Linked DNA regions of Drosophila melanogaster. The protein of the gene in region 2 interacts with the protein of the main gene of each other region in a pairwise test. Each region holds a gene or a part of one and is shown on either strand. Other genes may lie near its edges.

What was found.
Region 1: the proteins of Zasp52 (region 2) and Zasp66 interact in a two-hybrid assay, tested with the Drosophila melanogaster proteins (one study listed by BioGRID).

What each region holds. Positions count from the first base shown.
Region 1 is NT_037436.4:8,622,506-8,627,546, reverse strand, and holds the start of Zasp66 (Z band alternatively spliced PDZ-motif protein 66), read right to left. Parts: upstream 3,177-5,041; 5' UTR 3,065-3,176; coding exon 2,864-3,064; intron 1,339-2,863; exon of another isoform or gene 1,154-1,338; coding exon of another isoform or gene 1,037-1,153; intron 587-1,036; coding exon 438-586; intron 121-437; coding exon 1-120. Other genes in the region: GAPsec (GTPase activating protein, SECIS-dependent read-through), read left to right, coding at 3,773-3,792, 3,860-3,939, 3,998-4,470, 4,613-5,041.
Region 2 is NT_033778.4:15,811,885-15,816,703, forward strand, and holds the start of Zasp52 (Z band alternatively spliced PDZ-motif protein 52), read right to left. Parts: upstream 3,034-4,819; 5' UTR 2,845-3,033; intron 1-2,844. UniProt on the Drosophila melanogaster protein: Regulator of cell matrix adhesion having two related functions, one upstream of Actn organizing the Z line and the other downstream of integrins regulating assembly of integrin adhesion sites.

The DNA.
Region 1 (5,041 bases), on a different chromosome or scaffold from region 2:
AAGGGCGACGGACCGCGGTGGGGCATCAGATCCGGAGTGACCGGCGGCAAAGTGGAGTTGCTCCGAGATCCAGGACCTGCCTCCTGAGTTGCACCCTGCGTGTAGGCGATTTTGTTGTCCCTGCAATTTAGAATTATTAATATTTGTCATATCACAGACCATACAAAAGAAAAATCAGTTCCTAACGTTTCTTAGTGCAAATTGATCCAAGACGAAGGTTTCCTTTTGGCAATGGAGTAAAACTTAAGTTAAGTTTTTTATACTATGACTATAATCAACTAACTTTTATGATGATAAAAGCCCTGTTTAAAAAACAGAAAACTAAAATGAAGGTGTTCTCTTTACTCAATACACTTGACACTCGTAGAAGAAATTGATGTTAAACATACGGAACTGATTGGTATCTTTGATGCAGATACACGGATTTCCTGGCTCACCTGTGCACCACCAGGCGGATCTCGTTGCCAGCGCCGCGGAACAGCTGCTGTGCATCCGCATGACTCAGGTCGCGTGCGTCGTACTCGCCGATCTTCGAGATGATGTCGCCTCTTAGAAGTTCGCCATGCGCTGGGCTGCCCACTTGCACCTGCAACGGGTGGGGTGGAAAAGGAGGTGGGAAGGTCATTAGACACACATAGTATAGGGTGCAACGGGCTGGTTGCAACCTTGACACAGATTTATGGGTGCCTAAATAGATGCAGACAGAATTATGATCGCCAAAATGTGTGTGTTTACATCGCAGCTCAGTGAAAAGGGGGTAGGTAGGAAAAGTGGAAATTTTCTTCGACTATTCGGTTGCGCCTCAATTAGTTTTACTGGCGTCGCATTTTGGCAACGCTGCAGCGTTTATTGTTGCTGTGCCCGTTTCGCTATTTTGATTTGTTGTTGTTTATTTGGGCGCTGAGAACAAAGCGGCATGCGGGGCACAAAGGCCAATCGCTTTTCCTCAGGCATTTCTTCTCTGGCTCAATTTTGATGAATGGACCACAAGCGACCACAAGGCGACAGTCTCTCTGGTTATATAACGCCCATTTACCCTGGTGATAATTAGCGGCGTGTCCAGATCGTTGCCGCCCACCAAACGAATGCCCCAGGGCGTGGCCTGACCATCGCGCAGTAGCACCACCGCAAACTCATGCAGCTTGGGGCTCATCCTGATGTTGAAGATAGACTGGAAGATCAGACGCTCATCCGATCCAGCGATGGTTTATCCCGAAAATATATATTTATTTTTTATTGTTTATTTTTTTTTCTGGCCTTTTCTGGCCGAGCCGCAGGCGGCGCGCGATTGCAATCCGTTAAGCGTTTTGTTCGATCGCAAAGCTGCTCAAGTACTAATTTTAAAATACAATTCGTATTCCTTTTTGCAGCAACAGCAGCGGCAGCAGAGTACACTGCGCCACAAGTTTGTTTCTTACATACACATATGTACATACATGTACAACTTATATCCGCCGGCAACGGCGACTACATGCTGAGAAACATGAATTCGATTGGCGAATCCTAATCGTTAAATGGGGTTTCCGCTAAGAGCACTCTGAATTTCTCAGAGCGGATGTCGTGGATTCAAAAAGCATCAGGAGCATTTACCTCGGCAAAGCTCATAATTACCACAAGATAATTAGGCGTATACTTGATAAGCGGCTGCATATCAAATTACGCATACGCAGTGTTAATAAACATGATTGCTTGCATGTGTGCCATGTATTTAAAGCTTTACTATTTTCATTATTATATATACCCAAATCGCGAAGAGCATCCGCAAGCCACCACAAACTCAAACCTTTTCCCACATTGTTCCCATTGTTTAATTCGACGTGTGCCCTGCATTTGTGGCATTCTGCATTTCGTTGACCACATTTTAGGGCAGCACTTGATCCAGTTGCACGCTGACCCTGAAGAGATGAATGCCACATATCATCATCTAGGCGAATGCTTTGATGAGCTAGCTCGCCTGATGCAAAAAAGCATAAAAATCAAGTATCTAGGCATCTGTTTTTCCTCGACATTTTCGACTATTTTATTAGTGTTTTATTCCTCTCCGACTTGTTTGCCGAACGATGAGGCAACCAAGAGAGAGTGTAATTAGTTTTAGTTACTGAGGCGGTACTAGCACAACTGCAACAACCAATTCGACACTCTTGCCCAATTTAAATAAGCAAATCATATTAGATTTTTAATGCATTAGTCAATGGAAAAGTCTACGGCCAACGTGACGTATACGCAATATGAACGGGTCAACGGTTGAAGGACGTTGGTTTGTATTAAACATTCTGTCTGCCTCTCGATTTTGGCAACAATTTTACTGTTTACAGCGGAAAAATCTTTTCCTGCCTTTTGGCTTTTCGCTGAATATATACACAATATATGGCTTGCCATTTCATTTTTAATTTTATACATTCTGATTTCGGCACTTTTTGGCTGGCTCTTGAAATGTTTTTACTATTTGCGGCTTGAATTGTTTTCATTTCATTTTCAATTGGAATTCGTGTAATGTTTTTACGGTGACTTTTGCTGTAGATCAGCCTTGAGCGGATTGTAAATCATTCGAAATTCTTCACCCAACGTCTTGCGAATGGTATAAAAGTCATGCCAATGGAAATATAGATCCATCCATCTTTTTTGGGCCATTTTACTTGACCGAAAAGTGCAGCAGTGGCCAATTAATTAGATTTGGCTTGACAAATTTACGAGCCGCAAGGGGCGAAATGTTATTGAACTGATTTCTGAGTCGGCCTGTTGTGAATTGGGGCCACAAATACATTGGAATACGAATAAGAAAAGAACACACGCGCGATGATTGACAAGCCGGGCGATTTGAAAGGGGTTGGGGCTTCCACTTTTCTCGGCCACTTGGACTTACCCCCACGTTTTGCTCATCGGCAAAATGGACGCGCTTCTTCAGTCCGCTGCTGCTGCGCCGCCTGCAGGGCGATGGCAGCGGTACGAGCGGCGGTTTTGGGGTCGGCTGTGGACGATAGGACGTGGGCAATTCGTAACCGGGCACCTTCCAGAAAGCCGGTCGACTGAATGACGCGGACGCCGATGATCTGCTGGTCGTCATTGCTGGCCAGCGACTAGAGTAAACAAAAGAAATGCTCCGCACATTCAGAAATATGCGCTAAATTCTACGATTCGAACGCGTCTGCTCGCGACTGCGTGTGTGTGTGCACTAGTAGGCAATTGAAAAATCAAATAAAAGCGGAGAAAAAATCAGAGAAAATGAGCGAAAACAGAATATTATTATTCATTCAAAATCCAGTGAAATAGTGAGACGCGGAGAATTATGAATGGATTAATTGATGTTTCAGTTAGTAAATTTGATTGAGCAAAGAAAATACATACAAGCAATATCTAATAATCATGATTTAATCATTTTCATTTACAATTTAAACAATAGCGCCTTCAGCTTTACAAGATCTGGCAACCAGCTTAAAAACAGTTTTTCAATTAATTAATTAAAAAGAACAATACAATTAAGACAGAAGGTAATTACATACATTTTTACGAGGACAGTAAACCATTTAAAATTTCGATTTATTTATAAAATTTAATCGTTAAAAACTTTGAATTTTACCGCCCAATGCACTCAAAAATCGATAGTCGCAGAGAATAATCGATTAGAGCTCGAACCATCTGGCAACGCCCATTGTTTTGTTGTGTTTTATACCTGCAGATTTCACCCAGCATAAAACTGAGATAAAGCTTTAATTAATTACACATAGGGGTACTGCAAGATCTCAGCATAGCCCCGCCCACATAAAGCCGCAGCATGTCTATTTTCAAGGCGCGGTAAGCTGTTATTCTAAGCTAATCCAAACTTCTCCGTAAACAAAGACTTTCTCTAACCAAAATGCAGAGTCAAGGAATTTGAGGATGTTTTGGCGGGGCCACAGGATTTAATTGACCTGAAACAACTCAGGAAACTGGCATTTAATGGTAGAAAGCTAAGAGTGCATTTGAAATGTTCAAAATTTGAAGTCTGAGCACTCCACAGGTGTGCCCGATGTGCAGAGTTTTCGAGCACTCAGTTGGAAGCTACTCCTTGGCTATTTGGGGCCTAGGCGCAGTAGTTGGACCACAACCTTGGCCCAAAAGCGAGCCCTGTATAAACAGTTCATCGAGGAGCTAGTCCTGCCCCCCGGACACTCGAGCAATAGAGCTAGCGTAGACGGAGGAGATGGGGACAAAGTCGATTCGGGGGGCGTTGGCCTGCAAGATCATCCGCTGAGCGAGGGACCCGAAAGCGCGTGGAACACGTTCTTCAATGATAACGAGTTTCTACTGCAAATCGACAAGGATGTCCGCCGCTTGTGCCCGGACATATCCTTTTTCCAGCAGCCCACCGATTATCCCTGCGAGATTGTGGTCCACAGCAAAGGAGAGCATGGACGAAGGCTCCACGAACGGGTGGTTCCCGCCGTTCTAAGTTCGGCGAATGTGGAACGCAAGGGCCTCGGCATGACAAAGGTGAGTTCAAGATCGGAATTGTGCTAGACAATAAGCTCAGAATGTGTTGTTTCATTCATGCATACCGTGTGGATTTTAGCAGCAAGTAAGTAAGCCCATCTGGAACTGCCCCAAACCTAATGAATATGTGTGCTCTATATAGATAAATTTGATTACAAAACGCTCCGTTGAAAACTATGCCGCCATGGAGGAGGGCCAAGAGGCTCACTGGGAAGTTGTGCAACGCATTTTGTTCATCTATGCCAAACTAAATCCCGGCCAGGGATATGTCCAGGGCATGAACGAAATCGTGGGACCCATTTACTATGTTATGGCCTCCGATCCTGACCTCACATATCGCGCCCACGCTGAGGCTGATTGTTTCTTTTGTTTTACCGCCCTGATGAGCGAGATAAGAGACTTTTTTATTAAAACACTAGACGACGCAGAAGGCGGCATCAAGTTCATGATGGCCAGGCTATCGAATATGCTGAAATCAAAGGACCTAAGCATTTACGAGCTACTCAGGAGCCAAGAGCTGCATCCGCAGTATTACAGCTTCAGGTGGCTCACACTGCTCCTGTCGCAGGAG
Region 2 (4,819 bases):
CCACTAAAACCCTATCCCAAAGTGCCGACTCAATCGCAATCTCTCGATGGGTTTCTGTGGCTTTTGCCGCGGCGATGAAACCAAAAATTGTTTGCCAGTCACGTTTGTGGTGCAGAAAGAGCAGTGGCAGCAGTGGTACCCATTACCCATTTAGCAAAAAGTAAAAAAAAGGGGTATGGGGGGGAGGGTTCAGACAATTCGAGTTGCGTTGAGTCTGCACTTCTTCGTCGAAGATTTCGCGTCTGTGGGCGTTTATTTTCAACGCACTGCGGTTATGTAATTGCGAGGCGTCGGATACGTGATTACTTTTAGTCAAATTGCCGCTCGAATATTGTGTAATTCCGCTCGACTCCGCTCGCCTCCTCCACTTGCGATTTCATATCTGTGCGAAAGTGTGCCATCGCAGTTGTTGGCCAGGCGAAAGTGATTAACTTGTTGGCAGAAGTTAAGGTCAGGGTTGCACACCTCACAAGTGCTTTTTAAGTGGGAGCAATAACAGAGCACTATAACTTAGTAAATCGATAAGGAGAGCTAATAGTATCAGTCTGTATAGCAATAAATGTATTTATTTATGCTATATATTGGGAAGTAAACATTTGAAGAAATTGTTTCTTTGCTGAGATGATATCATTGGCTGAAATAGCACACCTTCTTTCCTATAGCCAAGCACTGCATTTAAAAATTCATTATAGAAGTTCTTTTAAAAGCCATATAGCATATAGCATATGAGATTCAAGATCAGAAGGTCGAAAGGGGTCATATCTCAATCTACTCCTACAACCATTCCCAGGCAAGAACCTTCCATTAACGTATGTTTAAATATTCTTGAATCATTATCATCGGTCGGGTTTTGCGTTGTTTCGCCACCTTTTTTTTTTTTTTTTTTTTTGTTCTTTTGCTCTGAGTGACATACGAACCCTGAAGAATAAACAAAGATACAAAGATACGAGAGAAGTGCTTGTCTCAGCAAAAGGAAAGAGAATGCAATCTACCATGACAGTTCACGAAGGTTAAATTCTTGAGAAATGATTTGGTGGCAATCGTAGAGACCGCAGAGAATTTGCAAAAAGCAAAAGCGGCCAATGAGAGAGCGAACTAATTAAAATATACGCAAAGCTGTTTGAAATTTGTAGAGCATGTCTCCCCTTTTTTGCCCCATCGCTCAGTCCCCCGCGATGGTTGCAATATGTGCACGAATCCGAGTCAAGTGAAGCCAAGCCATGAAATATTGTCACGCACCCAGGAACGGAATGGGATAGGATAGGAATAGGATGTGCACGAGAAGTGCCATTCTAATGAGCTCAGCTACATTTCCACGACGGCCTTAATTTACGATTCCCGGCCGAGAAGGAATTTGCTAGTATTTTTCAGCAGTGAGAAAAAATTTAGATACAATTCTGTTTACTAAAAGAACTCGACTTAAATAATTAAACGAACAGTCAGCTCTTTGTTTTCGGTGTATTTTCTAGTGCACCCATCATCCTCTGCGTAATTAATTCCGCCCTGGACTGATAAACCCCAGTGTAAACAAAGACATTTCATTCATCGAAAAAGTGGTCAGTGGCAATGGCTATTAGCTCATTCAAGTTTATAGAACCACTATCTTATCGGGCATTGATTCACGGATGTTGTGAGGCGTTGTAAGATTGATTCGGTCGAAGTGGCGATTGCTTTACAGCTATTATTGGTGAGGTGACCAAACATTAGTTTAATCGCTAGATAACAAGGTGGGTGATTAATCGATTTCGTCGTTTTGTTGGGGTTCACTGAACCCAGGCTAAAAGAAAGCCAGAAGATAAACGGACACAAGAACAGGGCGAGTATCAACAAGTTTTGGTCATGGCTAAATTACATCACAGGCAGACTGCTGGTGGCCTGGCAGGAATTGGAAATGGCAAATGGAAATGGAGAGCAACCACTGCGTATACGTGATGTCAGCGGCAGTGAGAGTGAGCGAGAGCTGGCGAGGTAGGCAGAGAGAAAAGGAGAGAGCGATTGCTGAAAATCGCTGAAAATAGATCAGGCGAAGAGGAAATCCGAAGAGCAGCCACGAAAATCGCAAACGAAAATTGCCAAGATAACGAAAGACACTTTTCGAGGAGGCGACCTAGAGAGCTGGTCTGGCTTCATTAATATGCGATGCTTTATGCTGTCGCCGATATATAGTCTATATAGCGCTCAAAACGTTTTGAAAATGTCTCAGAATTTGTGGCGCCAAACCGCAGCAATTCGAGCATAGAAAGGAGGCGCAGGAGGTGGTGGCCGCCACATTCGCAGCACTTTCGCAATTTGTGTATCTGTATCTGGCAGATATTGTATCTGGCGGATGGCTGCTGGCGAACGGCGCTGACTGACTGACTGAGCGAGAGTATTCGGAAACAAATCCAATCCGCGCAGCCATTTCGAGGAGCTATAAATAAACTCACCTTGAAAAGTTTCTAAAAATTTTCTCGCTTTTTGACTATATAATTTTATTCAATTTCAACGAGCCGAAGATCTACAACGTATCTGTATCTCTGTATCTGTGCTCTGGCCAACAAATGTGATATATGCGTCAAAAGAAATTCCCTGGATCGGCGTGCCAAGAAAATTATTTACCAATCGCCTATATTATTCGCGCTGAGTCTTCGGTTTCGTAAGGGACTTTACTTGTTGTTAACCTTCACAAAATGCACACAAGTCACTATTTAGTGGACGAATGGTGAGGGAGAGGGGCGGTGACTGTCTCTGATATTGATTCTGATTCATCAGCGATCCTGGCGAATCGATTGCGGCAGGCTATTGTATAACCAGCTGATTTCTACTTAACCGAATGTCTGATTTCACATGCGACCTGGTACTGACCGATTTATTCCGATCGGGTGGCTTTCTGCTGGGATTCGATTAGATTCGATTCGATACGGTTTCGATTTGATTTGATTTTTACTGATTTGGACTTGGATCTCGGTTTCGTATATTCGTGACGTTTGTGGTGCACTGCCAGTTCAGTTCTTGGGCGACGTTAACTAAGCGACGATTTTCTCTCAACTAAAGCAAAAACCGAAACCGAAAATTTTTATGTGCATTTTGTGCCGTTTTCGAATACAAAAATCTTTTCAACCACATCGCTGCCGTCGCAGTCGTCGTCGCTGCCGGCGTCGCTGCTTTTGGGCCGTGCGAGAGGCAGTGGCAGTGGCACAGTCTGGCTATATAGCATCTATATAGACATTGTCGGTTCTCAATTCCCAACCGATACGACGGCAGAGCCGCAAAGCTACAAAACGCCAGACGACGGCGACGGCAACGGCTGCCAATGTCTGTCTGGCTTTTGTGGCCCACTGTTTTGTTGTTGTTCCTGGTGCGGGCTATTCTTTTTGTTATTTGGCTAATTGTTTGTATTTTGTTTTCATAGCCAAGCTTTTAACGGCGCAGCCAGCCAAATGCCCATGTGCAATCAGTCCGTTTCGGGGCTGTAACTTATAGTAATCCTATAATTACATCTAGTTAAATGGGATAAACAATTTGCTGAAGGGCTCAAGTACAATTGCCCAAAAAATAAATCCTTAAGTAGGATAATTTCATTATCTATACTTTAGATATACATAAAGTTTCAATGATCTCATATTATTGTTTCTTGTCATGAATGTACTATGCGTATGAAACGCACATTTGGCACATCTCTTTGAAGTTGAAAGCAAGTGCAGGTGCTGAACTATTTCCCGTGATCTGTTTTCCTCAAAACCACAACAAAGTGTGCAGCTAAATGGGAACAACAACCCCGAATAATCTGGGGAATTTGGGTCACAAAAGATCCTAAGTGCGTGAATCAGCGGTGGTGACTCCATCCGAGCTATGATCCATCCGATCCATTATCCATTTCTCAATAAACAATTAATCATTCCGTCGGGGTCACACATCCCTCATACCCAATGCATGCTTCTTTTAAAGATCGCAGGTCCAAAAACATACTCTCGCTAAAATGAAATTTCCCTAAATTGAATTTCCAGTGCATGAAAAGTGAGCCATAAAGCATTAATATGTTAAAATGTAGCCATAGCGCAAAGCTTACAAAAATAAACGCAAATATGTTTTTGCCAGCGCTGATGTGCTCAATCAAGCAGCGAAATGAAACGAAACGAATTGAATCGAATCGAGGCAAACAATCCACCAATCCACCAAAAAACAAAAAAAAAATGGACAGGAAAACATGGACGACTATGTAGATAAATATGTATAATATAATATAATATTTGGATGTTTTATGCCGCGCGTATTTGTGTCTACATCACATCACATAGCGGGTGGCATAAAAAGCTCAGGCGGGTTAAACAAGAACAGCAAACAAGTAAACAAATAATAATAAACCAACCCGCCACCTAACTATGCCGACAAAAAACATTTCGGCTTTTTAATTAAATCATGTTGAGTGGCAAAAATGATAATAAAGAATCTAGCGCAATTCAATCAAAATCACTAACAAAAAACACTGTTCTTGCGGTTTTTTATTACGCATTTCGGTCAGGCGATTAAGATACGAAATACCGAGATACGGGCGTAATTAAGTTTAAAGACCGCATCTCGGCGATCTTTCGTTTTTATGTTTTAATGACAACGGTGACAACGGTTAGTTACACAATAACTTGCGGTTAACACTTTTGCTTTTTATACCAATGCGGTTTAATTGCTTAAATCTGTCTTTGATATTCGGGGATGCTGAGTCAACGGTCAAGTTTTCGGAGCCATGAATCACACAATCGAGCCCTGTGGCTCGAAACCGGCTCTTCGCGGAGCCGTTTTTTTTTTTTTTTTTGAAAACTTTTTGGCAGGAGGCCAGCACAAA